Saccharomyces cerevisiae S288C: one gene and its partners. Changing the gene in region 1 together with any one later gene gives a genetic interaction. Each region holds a gene or a part of one and is shown in the gene's direction. Other genes may lie near its edges. The genes, in order: YPT7, DYN3, MMR1 and GPP2.

Evidence for each region.
Region 2: mutations in YPT7 (region 1) and DYN3 together harm fitness more than expected from each alone (negative genetic interaction), as found in Saccharomyces cerevisiae (3 studies listed by BioGRID).
Region 3: mutations in YPT7 (region 1) and MMR1 together harm fitness more than expected from each alone (negative genetic interaction), as found in Saccharomyces cerevisiae (3 studies listed by BioGRID).
Region 4: mutations in YPT7 (region 1) and GPP2 together harm fitness more than expected from each alone (negative genetic interaction), as found in Saccharomyces cerevisiae (2 studies listed by BioGRID).

The regions. Positions count from the first base shown.
Region 1 is NC_001145.3:265,526-268,474, forward strand, and holds YPT7 (Rab family GTPase YPT7), read left to right. Parts: upstream 1-1,648; coding exon 1,649-2,275; downstream 2,276-2,949. Other genes in the region: VRL1 (Vrl1p), read left to right, coding at 1-1,229. UniProt on the Saccharomyces cerevisiae protein: Ypt/Rab-type GTPases are key regulators of membrane trafficking and intracellular vesicular transport.
Region 2 is NC_001145.3:863,912-870,017, reverse strand, and holds DYN3 (dynein light intermediate chain), read left to right. Parts: upstream 1-4,667; coding exon 4,668-5,606; downstream 5,607-6,106. Other genes in the region: ATP-binding cassette Fe/S cluster precursor transporter ATM1, read left to right, coding at 391-2,463; ADE4 (amidophosphoribosyltransferase), read left to right, coding at 2,927-4,459; sphingosine N-acyltransferase subunit LIP1, read right to left, coding at 5,747-6,106. UniProt on the Saccharomyces cerevisiae protein: Component of the cytoplasmic dynein which acts as a motor for the intracellular retrograde motility of vesicles and organelles along microtubules. May play an important role in the proper orientation of the mitotic spindle into the budding daughter cell yeast.
Region 3 is NC_001144.5:532,362-538,731, forward strand, and holds MMR1 (Mmr1p), read left to right. Parts: upstream 1-2,852; coding exon 2,853-4,328; downstream 4,329-6,370. Other genes in the region: ATG26 (sterol 3-beta-glucosyltransferase), read right to left, coding at 1-2,032; peroxin PEX13, read left to right, coding at 4,911-6,071. UniProt on the Saccharomyces cerevisiae protein: Involved in the guiding of mitochondrial tubules to the bud tip during cell division.
Region 4 is NC_001137.3:278,136-283,583, reverse strand, and holds GPP2 (glycerol-1-phosphatase GPP2), read left to right. Parts: upstream 1-2,901; coding exon 2,902-3,654; downstream 3,655-5,448. Other genes in the region: VHR2 (Vhr2p), read left to right, coding at 1-879; THO1 (Tho1p), read right to left, coding at 1,218-1,874; fatty acid synthase CEM1, read left to right, coding at 3,958-5,286; FCY22 (purine-cytosine permease), read right to left, coding at 5,420-5,448. UniProt on the Saccharomyces cerevisiae protein: Glycerol-1-phosphate phosphohydrolase involved in glycerol biosynthesis. Plays a role in osmoadaptation.

The DNA.
Region 1 (2,949 bases):
GACTAAGTAATATTGACGCCATCACGAAAGACCGTCGACTTATATTAGAGAAGGTTCAAAACTCGACCTTCTTCACTTGTTTTGATTATGCAAAAGATCACTCGGTACTAAGCAAGATAGGAGAAAGGGGTGTCAAAGATTCACTTTTTGGATTAATATATTTTCATTCTTTGCGATATCATAATTTAAATGCGACAACAAATATAACATCCGTTTCAAATGCAGAGAAACCTTTCGCCACTACTGTTATTAACATGAAAACAATTCAAGGCTTACTACGCTCAATTCTGAAAGACAATCCGTTCACCTTTTTGCCATTAAATACCTATATCGATGAAATATCGCACTTAAACCGTTCTGATTTAACAATAATCGGGAAAACAGATGTCACATCGTTACTTCACCAATTAACTAACTGCTTCAACGTTCTTTTATTCCTGAAAAAAATTCCAGAAAATTTGTTCACTGATGAGGCTTCTATCTTATATTGGATGCGCATAAACACTTCTAAAAGAAACCAGAAACCCTCAGGAAAAGAAAATCCAAAAACAATGGAACCCGAGGAGATTAATATGATACAAAGCTTTTTACGTTTTAATTTTGATGAGATTTCATCATTTAAGGCAAGCTTGAATATTTTGAGGAAAGTCTTAATATTTATTAATTTGAAATCCGATGATTTCGAGGATGCTTATAAGGGTCTTAACGAAATGGGTAGAAAATTAATTAATAGTGAAGCATCCAGCGCATTTAAGGGGATTATAACAAATCATAATATGTTCAGTGAATTATCGCTAGCAGCACTACTAGAAAACGTGCGTTTCTTGGAACAATGTACTATCCAACTATCTAGTTTCGTTCAGATAATTTTATTTGAAAAAATTCCGAACTGGTGGAAACATTATGGTGAGTTTTTAGCTTTACATAAAAGCTATCGGAAGGCTTTTCCTAACATGGTTAAGCCAAAAAGTGCATCAGATACCTCTAGTCGTGCTCCACTTGGTGGTTTTATTGAAACGAAGCGTGAACAATCGGAGCAAAGACTAGCGGTTCAGATAAAGGCCTCTTCAAAAATGCTCAAAGAACTTGGAAGCGAAATTTTTGTAGCTCACGAAAGGTTGGCCGAGGAACTAAGCAATTATATGGAGTTCAGGAAGGCGTGCTTAGATCAGCGTAGTCTTGTGGCATTTGCCACAACCAACATTAGCGTTCTTCAAGAATGTGTTTAAGATTGACTGAGCATTGCAATATTTTACCTTCTTCTCACTTGTTCTATAGAATTTTTTACCCAAAAATAAGAGATAAAGAGTTTGAAAGAAACATCATTACATATATATATATATACGGGCAGCTCCGTAACTCGAAAAGAGTGACAGCTGTTTTACTCTGTAATAGCTGACGATTCTTCAGTGATTGGAATAACCTCAGAACTCACCGGTACGGGTAACGTTTGTATCTCGCGGATTAACTTTTCGCATTTCGACCTACTGAGAGAAGAAGTTCCTTTTGTTAATCTGTACCTTTATCTTGAAAGCAGTCGTTACAGAGGAACAGCATTGGGAATCACCAACAAAATAAGAGGAATAAGCTCATCCAGTCCACTTCTTATCCATATAGAAACCCCTTCTGTATCAATTCAAATTAAGTGATGTCTTCTAGAAAAAAAAATATTTTGAAAGTAATCATCCTAGGTGACTCTGGTGTTGGGAAGACCTCCTTGATGCACCGTTATGTCAATGATAAGTATTCTCAACAGTATAAAGCAACAATTGGGGCTGACTTTTTAACAAAAGAGGTGACAGTTGACGGTGATAAAGTTGCCACCATGCAAGTTTGGGATACTGCTGGACAGGAACGTTTCCAATCACTGGGTGTTGCTTTCTATAGAGGTGCAGATTGTTGCGTTTTGGTCTACGATGTGACCAATGCCAGTTCCTTTGAGAATATTAAGTCTTGGCGAGATGAATTTCTAGTGCATGCGAACGTAAACTCACCAGAAACATTTCCATTTGTTATACTGGGAAATAAAATTGATGCCGAAGAATCTAAAAAAATTGTATCAGAAAAGTCCGCTCAGGAGCTTGCTAAATCATTAGGCGATATTCCTTTGTTTTTAACAAGTGCCAAAAACGCCATAAACGTTGATACCGCATTTGAAGAAATTGCAAGGAGTGCTTTACAACAGAATCAAGCTGATACAGAAGCCTTTGAAGATGACTATAATGATGCCATCAATATTCGCCTAGATGGAGAAAATAATTCTTGTAGCTGTTGAGCTGTACTACTTAATTGTATCTTCTATTATGTAATCCTTTATAGCGTATCCTTAAAAAAATTAATAATTTAAAACTACTAAATATATTTAGGGATGTGATGGCCCTTTCAATATGAGGCTTTCGATTACCATGTGCAATCTGTCTATGAACCTTAGTTAATTAACACAACTGTTAAATAAAGCGATTTACTACACTTGAGATAATATAACTCAACAAAACGTGACAAAAAATCACATGACTACCTAACAAAATATTTATTTTTCTTTTTTAATATTTGAAAATACTAAAATATTTTTGTTGTTTTTTGAAAAAAGGATTTTTAATGTGTATGCGTTCCGAACTTTAAATATAACGTCAGCGTAAAAATAATTTTTCTCCGAATGTATATCGAAATCTCAAATTGCTCTTAGAGATTTAGATTTCAACGACAGGATAAATTGGCTAGAGTTGAAAAAACTGCACAGAGTATATAAAAGATCTTGCAATGGATGATTAAAATTTACGGTATTTCATTTTTCCAATGAATGGCTTTTCTAAGAGAAATTAATTTCGCAATTTGTTGATGAGAAGTTCTGGCTACCTTAGTCACTATTTATTTTACTATGGCGGTATAAGTTTCTCCCGCCTTGAAAAAAGGAATACAGTAATAAAATGAATATAAATCAGGATTTTT
Region 2 (6,106 bases), 600 kb from region 1:
TATACTCATCTATATTCTTTTGAAAATGTATAAAAGTGACGATTGGAGATGGTGCAATTTTCTACGCAGCATGAAAAATATCTAAGGAAGGTAAGGTACATACCAAGTAAGTCTTATAATATGTTGTTGTACCTCACTTTACCATTCTTAAAGTCTTTAAAAGAAATTACCTTACCCAATTTGCACAGCAAAGGTCACTGACCTATACGTGCCCTTCATCAGATTACATCACGTGAAATTTCACTGGGAAAGAGCGCGAGGGCTTTCCGATGACTTTCTACATTAATAATCGCAAACAAAGCAATCAGCACAGCAAAGAGTACAATTTCGAAAATTGCGACAGAGCAACGTAAGTATATCGTTGTTGATAGATTCCACTCCAACCTGCAAATGCTGCTTCTTCCAAGATGTCCTGTAATTGGGCGAATTGTAAGATCAAAATTTAGATCTGGTCTAATCCGGAACCATTCGCCCGTTATATTTACTGTGTCTAAGTTATCAACCCAGCGGCCTCTGTTATTCAATTCAGCTGTGAATTTATGGAATCAAGCACAAAAGGATATTACGCACAAAAAATCCGTCGAGCAATTCTCGTCGGCTCCAAAAGTGAAGACTCAGGTAAAAAAGACCAGCAAGGCCCCAACCCTCTCGGAACTGAAAATCTTGAAAGATCTATTTCGCTATATTTGGCCCAAAGGCAACAATAAAGTGAGGATAAGGGTACTGATTGCCCTTGGACTGTTGATATCCGCCAAAATTTTAAATGTTCAAGTACCTTTTTTTTTCAAGCAAACTATTGATTCAATGAATATAGCATGGGATGATCCTACAGTCGCCCTTCCGGCAGCGATTGGATTAACCATTCTTTGCTATGGTGTTGCAAGGTTCGGCTCTGTTTTATTCGGCGAACTGAGGAACGCCGTATTTGCCAAAGTGGCACAGAATGCCATTAGAACTGTGTCGCTACAAACTTTCCAGCACCTTATGAAGTTAGATTTGGGATGGCACTTGAGTAGACAAACGGGTGGTCTGACGAGGGCCATGGATAGAGGTACAAAGGGTATATCTCAAGTGTTAACGGCCATGGTATTCCACATTATCCCTATAAGTTTTGAAATATCTGTCGTTTGTGGGATTTTGACGTATCAATTCGGTGCGTCATTTGCCGCAATAACATTCAGTACAATGCTTTTATACTCCATTTTCACTATAAAGACGACCGCATGGAGGACACATTTTAGAAGGGATGCTAACAAGGCCGATAACAAAGCTGCCAGTGTGGCTTTAGATTCTTTAATTAATTTTGAGGCGGTAAAATACTTCAACAATGAAAAATATCTTGCAGATAAGTATAATGGCTCCTTGATGAACTATCGTGACTCTCAAATTAAAGTATCGCAATCTCTAGCATTTTTGAACTCCGGCCAAAATCTAATTTTTACTACTGCCCTAACTGCAATGATGTATATGGGTTGCACCGGCGTTATTGGTGGCAACTTGACAGTTGGTGACTTGGTTCTAATTAATCAGTTGGTTTTTCAACTATCAGTACCGCTAAATTTTCTTGGTAGTGTTTACAGAGATTTAAAGCAGTCTCTGATTGATATGGAAACGCTATTTAAGTTAAGAAAAAATGAAGTCAAGATTAAAAATGCCGAACGTCCCTTAATGCTTCCAGAAAATGTTCCCTACGATATTACTTTTGAGAACGTCACGTTTGGATATCATCCCGATAGGAAAATTTTAAAGAATGCCAGCTTTACCATCCCAGCAGGCTGGAAAACCGCAATAGTTGGGTCTTCGGGCAGTGGGAAGTCCACCATTTTAAAATTAGTCTTTAGATTTTATGATCCTGAAAGCGGAAGGATCCTCATAAACGGTAGAGATATTAAAGAATATGACATCGATGCCTTGAGGAAGGTGATTGGTGTGGTACCACAGGACACACCACTTTTCAATGACACTATCTGGGAAAATGTAAAGTTCGGTCGTATTGACGCAACCGACGAGGAAGTGATAACTGTAGTTGAAAAAGCCCAGCTAGCACCCTTAATCAAGAAATTACCACAAGGTTTTGACACCATCGTCGGGGAGCGAGGGTTGATGATCAGCGGTGGTGAAAAGCAAAGGCTGGCAATTGCAAGGGTACTATTGAAGAATGCAAGGATCATGTTTTTTGACGAGGCCACAAGCGCCTTGGACACACACACAGAACAAGCTCTCTTACGAACCATTAGAGATAACTTTACTTCGGGTTCGAGAACGAGTGTATACATCGCACATAGACTGAGGACAATTGCAGATGCAGACAAGATCATAGTCCTTGACAACGGAAGAGTAAGAGAGGAAGGTAAGCATCTTGAACTGTTGGCTATGCCAGGGTCATTGTACCGCGAACTTTGGACCATACAAGAAGATCTGGATCATTTAGAGAATGAACTAAAAGACCAGCAAGAACTATGAACGCTCGTAAGTAAATATTGATTTATACATGTATAAGTTTTTCAAGATTTAAGGAAAAAAGAAAAGTTATTATCTTTCTCCGCGGTTTTTCAATGACCCGATGTATTGACTCTTCCTGACCGAAAATAACAGGACAGAGTTAGAACGAACATGAATAATAAAATATAATCTGGGATCATGAATCCGAATGACTGCTCATGCGGCAAATGTCAGAGCTTCGGTGTATTTAAAGTTTGCTTACTTACAATTTCAATAATAGGTTTGTACTTTTCAGATTCTTATTATTAAGTCAAGGTAAAGTCCTTCGTTTTTTTTTTTTTCATTTTAGAAAAATTTCAACAGCCACCGTACAATTTTATTCACTTTTAAGTCATAGTTGCGAAGACATCGTCTTGAAAGTAGTAGATTTCGTTCTAATAAGTTTAGCAAAGAAAGAGGTACAGCAAACAGCAGAATAGAAAAAATGTGTGGTATTTTAGGTATTGTATTAGCAAACCAAACCACTCCAGTAGCTCCGGAGTTATGTGATGGATGCATTTTTCTACAACATCGTGGACAAGATGCAGCTGGTATAGCTACCTGTGGTTCTCGTGGTAGAATCTACCAATGTAAAGGTAATGGTATGGCTCGTGACGTATTTACCCAACAACGTGTTTCCGGTCTTGCTGGTTCCATGGGTATTGCCCACTTGAGATATCCTACAGCCGGGTCTTCGGCTAATTCAGAAGCGCAACCATTTTACGTCAATAGTCCTTACGGTATTAACTTGGCACATAACGGTAACTTGGTGAATACTGCATCATTGAAGAGATATATGGATGAAGACGTTCATAGACATATTAACACGGACAGTGATTCGGAGTTACTATTGAATATTTTTGCTGCTGAACTGGAAAAACATAACAAGTACAGAGTTAACAATGAAGATGTTTTCCACGCGTTAGAAGGTGTTTACCGTTTATGCCGTGGCGGTTATGCTTGCGTTGGTTTACTTGCCGGTTTTGCATTATTTGGTTTCAGAGATCCAAATGGTATTAGGCCATTATTGTTCGGTGAAAGAGAAAATCCGGACGGCACTAAGGACTATATGTTAGCTTCAGAAAGTGTTGTTTTCAAAGCTCACAACTTTACTAAATATCGTGACTTAAAGCCTGGCGAGGCAGTTATCATCCCTAAGAACTGTAGCAAAGGTGAACCTGAGTTCAAACAAGTGGTTCCTATTAACTCTTATAGACCTGATTTATTTGAATACGTATATTTCGCCAGACCGGACAGTGTCTTGGATGGAATATCAGTTTATCACACAAGATTGGCTATGGGTTCTAAATTAGCGGAAAATATTCTAAAGCAACTGAAGCCAGAAGATATTGATGTTGTTATTCCCGTCCCAGATACTGCAAGAACATGTGCACTAGAATGTGCTAATGTGTTAGGGAAGCCTTATAGAGAGGGCTTTGTTAAAAACAGATACGTGGGCAGGACATTTATCATGCCAAACCAGAGGGAAAGGGTTTCTTCAGTAAGGAGGAAGCTTAACCCTATGGAGTCTGAATTTAAGGGTAAGAAGGTTCTGATAGTGGATGATTCTATTGTCAGAGGTACTACTTCAAAAGAGATTGTTAACATGGCCAAGGAATCCGGTGCAACAAAGGTTTACTTCGCTTCAGCTGCCCCAGCCATTCGTTACAACCATATTTATGGTATTGACTTAACAGACACAAAGAACTTGATTGCTTATAACAGAACCGATGAAGAAGTGGCGGAAGTAATCGGTTGTGAAAGAGTCATTTACCAATCATTGGAAGATTTGATTGATTGTTGTAAAACTGATAAAATAACCAAATTCGAAGATGGTGTATTTACCGGAAATTATGTCACTGGTGTTGAAGACGGTTATATTCAAGAATTGGAAGAAAAACGTGAATCGATCGCAAATAATTCATCAGATATGAAGGCTGAAGTCGATATCGGATTATATAATTGTGCAGATTATTGATAGATTGTTCCGAACTTGTTCAGTTGTATGTAAAATAGTTTCCAAATGCGCCCATTTATACATAATTATCTTTGTATTCTGACCTAAACTAAATATATATATATATATGCACGTATTAAAAAAAAAAATAAAAGCAAAAAGGTAAACAAAGAGAAGTAATCCGCAACTTGTACAAAAAGAAAAGAAGATAAAAGAATTGTATGTATTAATGGATAATTGTAATGCCTGGGACAAATTATTGTCTCAGAATGAATCCACAATCAACAGCACAGAGACTGCTACGATAACAGCAATCATATATTCCCCATCAAGTAAAACACTGCATCAATTTATAAATATCTGTTTTCCAGAGGGAAGCAATTCAATACTGGATACCACTTTGATTAATTACGCCACCATAGGATGGACCAACGACTTAAAGGAAAATTATTCTGTCGATGTTTACACGCTAATAAGAAACACTGACGATGCACTAGATCTTCTAAAGCCGTTTTTACAAGAACATAGTTCGAAGGTTCGCTGGCTCATATTATTAGATTGGACACTGAACGACCAAAAGTTGTGGCTGAATGAACTATCCTACGCATTCAATAAAATTAAGCAACTGAATGACGATAATGAATTTTCTGTATGGTGCTTAAACAGTGGCGAAATATTAAACTTACAAAGACACACTACAGTATGGCAGTCAGTACATATTGACTTCATTTTGCAAACGTTAAGATCGTTTTGCTATTTTAATGATAGCTCACTATTCTATATATGCGAAGACCATACCGAAGAGAAACGAGAGGAAGCACAAAGGCTTAAATACCAAGAGCTTCTAAAGCATTTTTGTGAAGATAGAGATATGAAAGATCATATTGAAATGGTCAAACGCAGTGAGATATTAATACCGAAGGGGTGCGATTCTATTGGATTGATAAAAACAGTAGACGAAAGATTTGAGCCTACTGAGGTGAAAGAGCAACACTTTTTGGCCCGATATATGGACTTTATACCAACAATTGATAAAATCAGAGAAGATAGGAAAACAACCTCTGGTATCGACCTTGATAAACTATATCCTTTAGAAGTTTTCAAAGTTAATATTCAAGAGGAATTAGGCAAAATGTTCGCAAAATATAGGGAAAATTCGAGGATTTAGGAAAGTGGGCAGGCGATACTTCTTTTATCATGAGCAATTTTTTTCTCTTTATATGTATAAATATAGATATGCACACGCATTTATAAATCCCTATATCAGGGTTGGATTTCTTCTATGTTTATGTATGTAAAAGAAAGAATTCACATGTGATAAATTGTGGAATCAGCACATAGTTCTTGAACCAGCTCAGAGTCTGTGTCGTACCCGACATAAGCTACGTAGCCAGGTTCACCTTTATCTTCGTGAATTGGGTAGTGGACGGGTGGAACATTATCATTCTCGATGATACAGAACGAGAGATGTTCATCATTTGGTTCATAATCTCTAGTGATTCTCTTTACTATAGTTTTATATTCGCCTCTTTTGTCACAACTTGGCCCACCACGTGCCCAAAGCTTGATTACTGAGCCAGACTGGGGTTCTTTGATTGGGGTACAATGGAACCATTCATAGTTAATTCTTGTACCATACTTGAAGTATTCAACCGCAGCGATCAGCAA
Region 3 (6,370 bases), on another chromosome or scaffold:
TATCTAAGAGCTTTAAAAGAATGCGTTCAATATCATCCCTGGCGACCTCAGTGCTAAATTCAAAAAATAGCTCCTCGTGACCGTGAATTACTATAACCAATACAAAATAACCAAATCGAAATCCCTTTTCTTTATAGCATGTCTCCACATCAACCAATGGCAAAACCATGTATGTATTAGACCCTGGTAATAACGATCTGAAGCACACCGTATCATTGGATACGTAAATCTTACCATAAACGGGAACATTTCTATTCAGGTATGTGTAGTAAGTACTGATTAGTGACTTCTCTTTATTAAACTTGAAATGGTACCTGAACCGCTCGTTAGCAGAAACCTCTTCTGTTTCTTTAATCAAATAGGTATCATCCTTTTGAAACGGGATAAACTTGTTCCGGTAGTGTATTGGTTTGGCAGCCCACATTTCGGCAAAATTTTTGAGGTGACTTGGCTTCCAAGCTACGGTTTGCTCTTGACTATCTTCTTGTTCATGAATATGAATCGTGGAATGCACAGAAGAGTCTATATCATTCGCCGCATCTTTATATATTTCCTCCACATCCTCAACTTGAGAATCTTCAAGAGGTTTAGCTCTACGAAACCAACTATTGCTTCTTTCTCTAAATCTGAATCGACTCTTTTTCCCATTTTCCGAAGAAGGCACAGCCGAAGTTGGAACATTCAAATATTTTGAATCCTCGCCGTTATTCTTTTGCTCAACTGTAGCTGGTGTCTCTTTTCCAAAACTTGATTTTGATTTCTTGGCTGGAATATCATAATAAAGTGTATTAACACCGGATTTCTGCAATATAGCCAACTGTTCGCCAAGGCTCTCTTTGACCTGACTACCGGACCCATCCATGAAAACAAACATGAAATCATCGATAGCATAGGTCTGTGAGCTCTCCAAAGCTCTTAATCTCAATGTTAAAGCTTTGTTGACTATAGGTTGATCATCTATCTCTATAATGTTGGGCAGCGGAATTTTTAAACTTATCGAATTGTTTTCAGAATTCTGAGCTGCGAACTGCTCCTTTTTCAAAGCGTTCACCCACGATTTAGCGGAGAACTCTGAATCTGCATTGAATTTGAATGTACTTTCATCTGTGTAAAGCTTAAATGTTTTCGTAGCACTCCCGTTTAAGGTATGTTTTTGTGTTTCAATTTTTTGGACCTCCCTCAAATCTATGGTTAAAACCGGAAAGTATAGCTCAGTTGATGAGGTATACATAGAAAATAAATGATTCTTTAGTACGCACCAATACCTGGTAGACCTAATTAGTTTTGTCCTGATATTAAGGTTTCCAGACATTTTAACCGACCGAGGATTCTTAGGTAAATATGCAAAGAATAGGAAATGTTTTGTTGTAATAAAAATATGGCCTTGAACCAACACATCTTTAAGTAGCCATGCAGGGAAATCATTCAAAAATGGTTCCTGTTCGTCTAAACAAAACCGCTGTCTCAACTTAGCCACATTGTCTTTTGACAGTTTTTCCCTAGTTATTGAGAAGTCGAATAAAGTTGGCTTTCTTTTGTCTAATCTTGGTACTTCCGGATGCGATTTAGTTTTGAGATTTTCCTTTTTGCTTTTTACCTCATTTCGACCAATGTTTTCCTGGAAACTATCACTGGAATCAGATTCTTCAGAATCAACTTGCGACAACACATTCATTTCTTGAGCATTATTCATCCCTGCATACACACTAGCAGTAGTTAATAAACCGGCAATACTTTTCATCATATACTTGGATTTCGCCAAGTCATCTGCATTATCGTTATTGTAACCGTTTTCGTCATCATCACTACGGGCTTCATTTGGACTGTCCTGCAGTTCTTGCTGCTCAGACGACCCCATCGATAAACTGCTATTTGATCTTCCTCTCCAGCGCTTGAACTTCGAAAGTGACCTTGAAAGGCGATGATGCCTAGGGGAAGTTTCTGGCTCAGATGGCTTATCAGGTACCAACGAAATGCTTGGTTTTGGCCCCGCCTCGCTATCAGACGCTGATATGATTTGAGTGATGGGCATTCTTTTAAGTTATACGGATTTTCACCAAAGCATAAAGTGCAACTGAACTTCTGATGTTTACTTTTTGACAGCCATGACTTTATCAGTGATAAATGCAATGACTTTCCGATCTACTCCTTCTGTTGACTTTTAGTCCCTTTTTTCTTAGATGTTATGTTACAGTCACATCAGGGTTAAGTTTTTCCAAGTCATCTCAAAACAATGACCTATTTTATTTCTAGATAAACCCTGGTGTAAGCAGGGTTAATTTTGTCCCAAACGGGCAAAATATAAATACCCCTTTCGGGAAATAAACTAAAAAGAGTTCTAATTAGCCAATTGGCAAGAAAGCTCGATGAAGAATCATTATGGGTTTAGAAATCAGATTTCCTTACTTTACAAGTTCTCTCACGCAAGCTTGATCGTTTTTAAATTTTCTACGTTCATTCAAGACAAAGTGGTTACAGATAGAAGTTTTTCTCACATTTAGATTATTTTTTCCTGATAGTATTAAATAACACGTACGATCAACAAATTGTTGCTCAGTTTAAGTGAGCCTAGAGAATTAAGCTTTATTACTGCTGTATTTTCTGTTATTTTGATTGCCTTGGGAATAAAGGAAAGGTTTGGAGGGGCACATCTTCCTAAATAGCAGTAAGGAAAAAGAATCGCGTGTGAAGTCTTTTAAATCAACATAGTTATCCTCGGTTCCAACTATTTTACTTTCGTTTCAATTCCGTTGTTCTTAACTAATCTTCTTTTCTTTTAACTTGTTACAAGCCAGTACTCATTGCAAAATCAAAAAAAAAAAACACAACTAATAAACTAAACAACTAAAAAAATGAATTCTCCAACAATGAAATCGGAACAACTTACTCCAAAACTCTCACCAATGTCCTTTTGTTTGGATGACCAAAGAAATGCAGGCTCTTTTCAAAATCTATTGAACTCACCTACGAAGCTAAAATTAGACACTGGCCCGATTGGTAATTCCTTGTTATATCCAACATCACTCTCTAAATTGAGCGAGTTATCAAGAGGTGGACGTTCTAAACAAAGAAGGGGCTCTGACACTATGAGGTCTGTATCGCCTATTAGGTTTCAGTTTTTGAACAACACTCCAAAGATGTTAAAACCCGAGTACCTATCTCAAACAACCAGTAATCTGCCATTGCTATCTGCCCTATTGAAGAATAGCAAGAAAACTACTAGTGAAGGCCAGAATTCAAACCCTGATCCATTGAACATAGAGAAAAACATCATTAAACAAAGCATCAAGGACAAACTAGAGCAGCTGCGCAGTTCAGAATCCGTTGCGCAAGTACAAAAGAAAGAACGCAATCCCCCTTCATTTGAGGCCAAAGTCTGTGCGGAAGAACCGATATTACGGAAAAACGCCGAAGGGTTGCTCCCCTCATACGTTCCTGTTCCTGCTACTCCTTTGGAAGATCCAGAAAATCATGGGGTGCGAAAGGTCGAGGACAAAGGACTTAGAGTCGTCTCCGGCGGCTCCACTCAGTGTCTAAGCACCGAAGTGAACGAATTGCCTAAGGATCTGAATCTAGACAATTTACCTACGGATAATAACGGGTTCGTTCAATATGGTCTCAAAGGCAATAACAACAACAACAGATATAGCTTTATCTCGTCTACGTCGACGGACTATGAGCCCGAATGGTGTGACGGACAACAACATATTTCAATGCAAATGGCCTCTATGGCCAATGCAGAGGAGGCAAATAGTCGTGAAAAATCGAATTTAGACATAAAGATCAAGCAGCTAGAACTTGAAATTACAGAATTAAAGTTGCAGAATGAAAAATTAGTGCATTCCATGACGACGAACAGATACATTGAAGAAAGATTTATGCTTGAGGTTATGAAGGATCCTAGTATACAGGCTCAAAGATCCCAAAGAGATATTGAGAGAAAAGTCAAGCAACTGGAGAAAAAATTCTTCAATTGTAAAAAAGTTCTTAAGAAATTGACTGAATCCTCCGCAGTAGTGGCCACCTCCACTTCAAAAACTGAAGGAAATTCAGCAAGAATCCCATGCCCTAAGACTAGACTGGCACGCGTTTCTGTTTTAGACCTAAAGAAAATTGAAGAACAGCCAGATTCTTCTTCGGGAACTTCGTCCGAGGAAGATCATCTAACAAACGATGATACGGATGCTAATACTAGCGAAGATTTAAATGTTGCTTTTGAAGAGGAGCCAACTTCTGCTATTTCCACAACAGCATCTGTGCAGAGTGGGGAAAGTAAAAGAGGTTTCCAACTTAACCTTCCTGTCCAAGTGGAGAAGAAGGAAAAATGAAGCGTCAACTTCAAATTAAATTAACTTATTTTACACAAACATTCACAATACATCAATGCTGATAGGCGCTTTGTATTGTAGGCTATCGAGTTACGCATCTGCAATGTGCGTGATTTCTCCGTTATCCATCCTTCTCATTGGACAATTTTTATTTGAATATTACTGAACTTCAAAGGGCTTGTCGTGTGATTTAATCTTTTTTCTTACAACGTCGAATGCTGCAGCTATTTATTCATAGTGTCGTCTAAGCAAATACCCCGCTTTTAAAAGCTGAATAGAAAATCCAATCACGGTGTGACTGGTATCACAAACACATAATTTATATATTGCATTCAAGTTTATTCAACCTATACTTAAATACATTAATTACCAAAAAAAATGATATAATAAAGTCTTCTTTTATCTGATTAATGACACCTTTTTCAGCGGGCCAAATTTTTTTTATTTCCGAAGCCCGCCGGACTAATATTAATTATATCAGATAGTTGGTGAGCAAACGCATGTGGAAATGAACAACAATTTCGAAAGTGCATATACTATCTATAAATATCAAGGGGATTCTATACTATAACAATACCTGCGATGTCATCCACAGCAGTACCACGACCTAAACCTTGGGAGACCAGTGCTTCGTTAGAGGAGCCACAGCGTAATGCTCAGTCTTTAAGTGCGATGATGACCTCGAATCAGCAGGATTCCAGGCCAACTGAAGAAAGCAATAACAGTAATAGTGCAAGTGAGTCTGCTCCCGAAGTTTTGCCGCGGCCTGCGGCACTTAACTCCTCTGGTACCTACGGCGAATCGAATACAATACCGGGAATATACGGTAATAGCAATTATGGGATACCCTATGATAATAATCCGTATAGTATGAACTCTATATACGGAAACAGCATAGGGAGGTATGGCTATGGAGGATCGTACTATGGCAACAATTATGGATCGTTTTATGGAGGAGGGTACGGTGCAGGAGCGGGATATGGAATGAATAATGGAAGTGGACTAGGTGAGTCGACGAAGGCCACCTTTCAGTTAATAGAAAGTTTGATAGGCGCTGTTACTGGATTTGCACAAATGCTGGAATCTACTTATATGGCCACACACAACTCGTTTTTCACCATGATATCCGTCGCAGAACAGTTTGGTAATTTGAAGGAAATGCTAGGTTCATTTTTTGGTATCTTTGCTATAATGAAGTTTCTTAAAAAAATACTCTATCGTGCTACTAAGGGGAGACTAGGAATACCACCAAAGAATTTCGCAGAATCTGAAGGAAGCAAAAATAAACTAATTGAAGATTTTCAAAAGTTTAATGATAGTGGTACCATAAATTCTAATGAGAAAGCCACAAGAAGGAAAATTTCATGGAAACCGCTACTATTTTTTTTGATGGCAGTATTTGGTTTTCCATATCTACTAAACAAATTTATTACTAAACTACAGACCTCTGGAACCATACGAGCATCGCAAGGAAATGGTAGCGAGCCTATTGATCCTTCGAAGTTAGAATTTGCAAGAGCGTTATATGATTTTGTTCCAGAAAACCCAGAGATGGAAGTTGCTTTAAAAAAGGGCGACTTGATGGCAATTTTGAGTAAGAAAGACCCTCTTGGGAGGGATTCTGACTGGTGGAAAGTGAGGACAAAGAACGGCAATATTGGCTACATTCCGTATAACTATATTGAGATCATAAAAAGACGGAAGAAAATTGAGCATGTTGATGATGAAACGCGTACACACTAGTGCATCAATATTTGCACACATATATTCGCATATATATATAGTAAAATCTAAAGTAATGTAAATATTCCAGGGAGAATCAGCAGAAACGAGACGAAGTACTTCTTAACAAAAAGCCAGATAACGGTGCAAAAACACATTATATTCTCCATCTTGAAAACACAATCTCCTACGTACACATATGCGTATTTATTTTTATATGAATGAAACGCCTATGGATATATATATGGGAATATAGACATTCACAATTTCAGGACAATTGTGATATGGCAATATCCAAGGCCTGCGGTGCTGGGCTTCGC
Region 4 (5,448 bases), on another chromosome or scaffold:
GATGAAAAATTACAAAAGTTTGATATAGAAGATCAGCCTCTAGAAAGTGAACAAGAATACGACTTTATTGCCAAATCAATAATTGTTGAAATTGTAAATAATGCTATTCCACTACCTGAACAAATTCAAAGAGATAAGTTCATTAGACCAAATTTAACGAAAAAAAAAGGGTGCCAAAGCAAAGTTGTAATATCCAACAACTTGAGAAAACTCATCCTGTCAAAGATACATAACTCAAGGACGTGCTTGGAGATGTCTAAGGATGAAAGAAATTTGGATTCTTTTGCTAATCTAGAAACGCTGGGCAAAAATTCACTAATGGCTTCCATTTCCCTTGTGGTAGAAAACAGCTTTTCACATTTACCGTCTTCTACTAAGCAATATCTTACTGAACGGCTGTCATCAATCGAATTTTTGACTATTCTATCGCAAAGGCTATTTATGCCCGCTACACGTCAACTATTCGCTGACCTATCACAAGAAAAAATTCAGGTGAGAGTGCTGAATCTCATACTGGGATCTCTTGTCAAAGATTATGGGTTTGATGCATCTTTGGCACCAATCAACGAAATTATCTATCACATGACACTCCATCAATATCCCTTGGTTTGTAGTAATAAACAGTCCAATCCAATGAGGCCACACTCCACATCTGAGGTCTTGAGTGCACATTCTTCAACGAAAGATGCAAGCACTCCCGGTAAAGAAGAGCCTCGAGTGACGAGGTCAAGCACATCGGCAGATAGCACTATCATTACATTGCCTTCAATTGAAGTCCCAAATACGTACGATGATGACAGGTTAAAGATGTTGAGCGCGATATCGTTGCAGATTGAAAATTCCACCTTTTCCAAACCATTCAGTACTATTTCAAAATAAATAGGCCCGCTTGCATCATCCCCACCTGCATTACTATGAACTATTTATCATAGCTTATTTTTCCTCTATCATCATTGTAACTTGTACAAGAATGTTCAGTCTGTAAATCTCGCCGCTCATTCTCTACTAGCACTTTACAACGTTGACAGCCACTGTATGTGTAATACAGTGAACCGCCGACTCTTCGGATTTAATAACACAGATTTATTTAGAATAATCTACACATGTTTACGTATGCAACAAATTTTGCACCTTCATATACAAACAACTGCGGTCGTTTAAAAAGTGGGAAAGAACCGAAACTAGAATGAAAAACTCCACCAAAACGGCTTGAGCCTTTATCTTCTGTAACCAGAGCGGTTGCCTCTCCTGTTTTTACTTACTCTGGAGCGGTTGTTTGCATTTTTGTTTCTATTTTTAAATTTACCGTTATTGCCACTTTCAGGTTCATTTTTCCTACTGACAAGGCCCAGTTCTTCAGCCAACTTGCTATTCAAGTCAACACCAAACTTCTCCACACGATTTATCTGTCTTTGTAAAGAGTCAATATCCGCTTGATCTTGACCGAATTTGTTAGCGCGGTGCAGTTTCTTATTTAAAAGATCCAATGCTTTGGCCTTAATTTCTTCTGGTGACAAAGCGGGAGCAGCAGTGGAAGCAGCAGCTTGTTCGTTCTCTGAAGCAGTAGCAGAAGGTCCATCAGAGGGCTTTTGAACGTCCTTATTTTCCTCCTTGGGTTCGTTTGTTTCTTTAGGCTCGCTTGAAACTTCCTTTTTTTCAGTAATGTTCTGGGAGGCTGGTTCTTCTATCGCCGCAGGTTCTGACCCTTGTTCCTGGTTTTGTTCCTGTGGAGAAACTTCACTTTCACCCTTTGATTCTTCATCGTCCTTTATCAGTCTTTGAACTAGTTCATTCTTCAATCCGCCTACAGACAGATTTCTCTTGGTCAGTAAATCTTTCAATTGAACAACAGTAAGGGAAGAATAATCTGCCATTGTAAGTGCTTGTGCTGGCTCCAAGAACAATTCTAGTGGTGAAAAAAATTCTATTCAATATACAGATATCTTTGTAACTTCTGAAAGTAGCGCATCCTGAAAGGACACATTTGAAGAGTCACTATTCAACTTTCTTCTCCCATTCAGCATTATCACGCCCTTCCACCAACGCTGGTTGCATTGTGTTTTCTTACTTCGGCTAGAGACGCCGGGTAATAAAATATATATCCTCGAATGAACCGCTGGCCTCGGCCATTTTCATATGACTTCATATCATTAATATGGCCGTAGGTTAAGCAATGCTACGTGAAAGATACCAATTCCAATCGTCTGCTTTCTCTCAAGAGGAGACTTTGCGTTCTTTAAAGGAGCAGAGAAAGAGGGAAACGGTGAAAAACTTCAATATTGATAACATCCATCAGCGTCTAAATTCCTATGCCTCCTTCGAAAATGGTCAATGTTATACCCTCTCCCATTAGATATTACCGTAGCGTACGTATTTGGCCCTGTCCTTTGGGGTTTGGCCTTCTCAAGTATTTTGGCACCTCGCCCTGAACGAAAAGCTGGCACTTTGTCCCCAGCCAAACTCTTCTCTCTAATATCGTCTTTAACGACAAGGTAAAAAGATTTCTGCAGTGTTCCGTCTGCGTCATCATCTGTGCCCCACAATCCGCGGCGTTTCCGTGTAAGCCGTCAAGTGAGGACTTTTCGGATGCTGAAAGAAAGTACGCTCGGAAAAACTACATAGCTGCCCCCCTAAACGGGCCTCCCACGTGACGTAAAGTAGGAATAATAAGAAGCCAAGTCGTTTCTTTTTATTCTAAATAAGTTCGTTTCTTTTGATGTTGTCATTTTCAGAAATATATATATATGCGCTTAAATACACAAGCTAAAACAACATAGTTAGGATTGCCAAAGGTTTCTTTTCTACTCAATTTGGTCTAACTCTTTTCATATTAATAGCGCCAACCAGCTAGTGTTTACCAGATCAGTGGAAAAACATAAAACAATAAAAACAATATTCGGAATGGGATTGACTACTAAACCTCTATCTTTGAAAGTTAACGCCGCTTTGTTCGACGTCGACGGTACCATTATCATCTCTCAACCAGCCATTGCTGCATTCTGGAGGGATTTCGGTAAGGACAAACCTTATTTCGATGCTGAACACGTTATCCAAGTCTCGCATGGTTGGAGAACGTTTGATGCCATTGCTAAGTTCGCTCCAGACTTTGCCAATGAAGAGTATGTTAACAAATTAGAAGCTGAAATTCCGGTCAAGTACGGTGAAAAATCCATTGAAGTCCCAGGTGCAGTTAAGCTGTGCAACGCTTTGAACGCTCTACCAAAAGAGAAATGGGCTGTGGCAACTTCCGGTACCCGTGATATGGCACAAAAATGGTTCGAGCATCTGGGAATCAGGAGACCAAAGTACTTCATTACCGCTAATGATGTCAAACAGGGTAAGCCTCATCCAGAACCATATCTGAAGGGCAGGAATGGCTTAGGATATCCGATCAATGAGCAAGACCCTTCCAAATCTAAGGTAGTAGTATTTGAAGACGCTCCAGCAGGTATTGCCGCCGGAAAAGCCGCCGGTTGTAAGATCATTGGTATTGCCACTACTTTCGACTTGGACTTCCTAAAGGAAAAAGGCTGTGACATCATTGTCAAAAACCACGAATCCATCAGAGTTGGCGGCTACAATGCCGAAACAGACGAAGTTGAATTCATTTTTGACGACTACTTATATGCTAAGGACGATCTGTTGAAATGGTAATCCTCTAAAATCGAACATATTTGAGTAATAATTCTCAGATACAGTCCTATTCTATATTCGCCACAAAACAAGTAATGATGCTAAAAAACGACACATTTATAAAATCACATCTTATTGATTAAATAAATACGTAGATAGATTTTTTTTTTTAAAACATATAGTGTGCTATTATTTCTGACTCTGTCTCATCTCAGAAAAATAAATGATAAAAAAGGAAGTAAAATCCTTAAACGTTATCAGGTTATTAGCAACTTGAAAGTGACAGGAGCCACAACGGATTAAAATTTAATTTCTAGTAAAGAAATGTCAAGAAGAGTGGTTATCACAGGATTGGGCTGTGTAACGCCGTTGGGAAGATCATTAAGTGAGTCATGGGGGAATCTGCTCTCTTCCAAAAATGGACTCACACCAATCACATCTTTGCCCAACTATAATGAGGACTACAAACTCAGAGAAAAAAGTATCCCATCAACGATAACAGTGGGGAAGATTCCAGAGAATTTTCAAAACGAAAATTCAGCCATCAATAAACTGCTGTTCACTAGCCAGGATGAGAGAAGAACCTCAAGCTTTATCAAGCTAGCACTACGTACAACTTATGAAGCGCTTCACAATGCTGGTCTCTTGAACCCAAATGATATAACCATCAATACATCTCTGTGCAATCTGGATCACTTTGGTTGCCTGATAGGTTCTGGTATAGGATCCATTCAAGACATATACCAAACTTCTCTACAATTCCATAACGACAATAAAAGAATAAATCCATATTTCGTCCCTAAAATCCTTACAAATATGGCAGCTGGTAATGTTTCCATCAAGTTTAACCTTAGAGGATTATCCCATAGTGTTTCCACAGCATGCGCAACAGGTAATAACTCCATTGGCGATGCATTCAATTTTATTCGGTTAGGCATGCAAGACATCTGTGTCGCCGGTGCAAGTGAAACGAGTTTGCATCCGTTAAGTTTAGCAGGTTTCATCAGAGCAAAGTCGATTACTACAAACGGGATCTCTAGACCCTTTGATACACAACGTTCTGGATTCGTACTTGGTGAAGGATGCGGAATGATTGTCATGGAATCGCTAGAACATGCTCAAAAGAGAAATGCAAACATAATTTCTGAGCTCGTGGGCTATGGTTTAAGCAGTGATGCCTGCCATATTACCTCCCCTCCTGCTGATGGAAATGGTGCCAAAAGAGCAATAGAGATGGCTCTAAAAATGGCTAGATTAGAACCAACTGATGTTGACTACGTCAATGCACATGCTACATCAACTTTACTAGGCGATAAAGCAGAGTGTCTGGCAGTAGCCTCAGCACTCTTACCAGGAAGATCCAAAAGCAAGCCACTGTACATATCCAGTAACAAAGGTGCAATTGGCCATCTTTTAGGTGCAGCTGGCGCCGTAGAAAGTATATTTACAATTTGTTCCTTGAAGGATGATAAGATGCCGCATACCTTAAACCTGGACAATGTTCTGACTCTAGAAAATAACGAGGCCGATAAGCTACATTTCATAAGAGACAAACCTATTGTGGGAGCTAATCCGAAGTACGCATTATGCAACAGCTTCGGATTTGGAGGAGTTAACACATCTCTTCTCTTCAAGAAATGGGAAGGGAGTTAATATTATTAAACTTATATATATATCCCATTATAATCGTTTTTGAATTATATGCTATCTATTCGAATGTCGAGATTTATCCATTAAAACCAATCATTTCAATGATTAGCAAAAATATTAATCAATTAACATTTAGTCATCGACCGAAATATTTGAGTTCTAAAG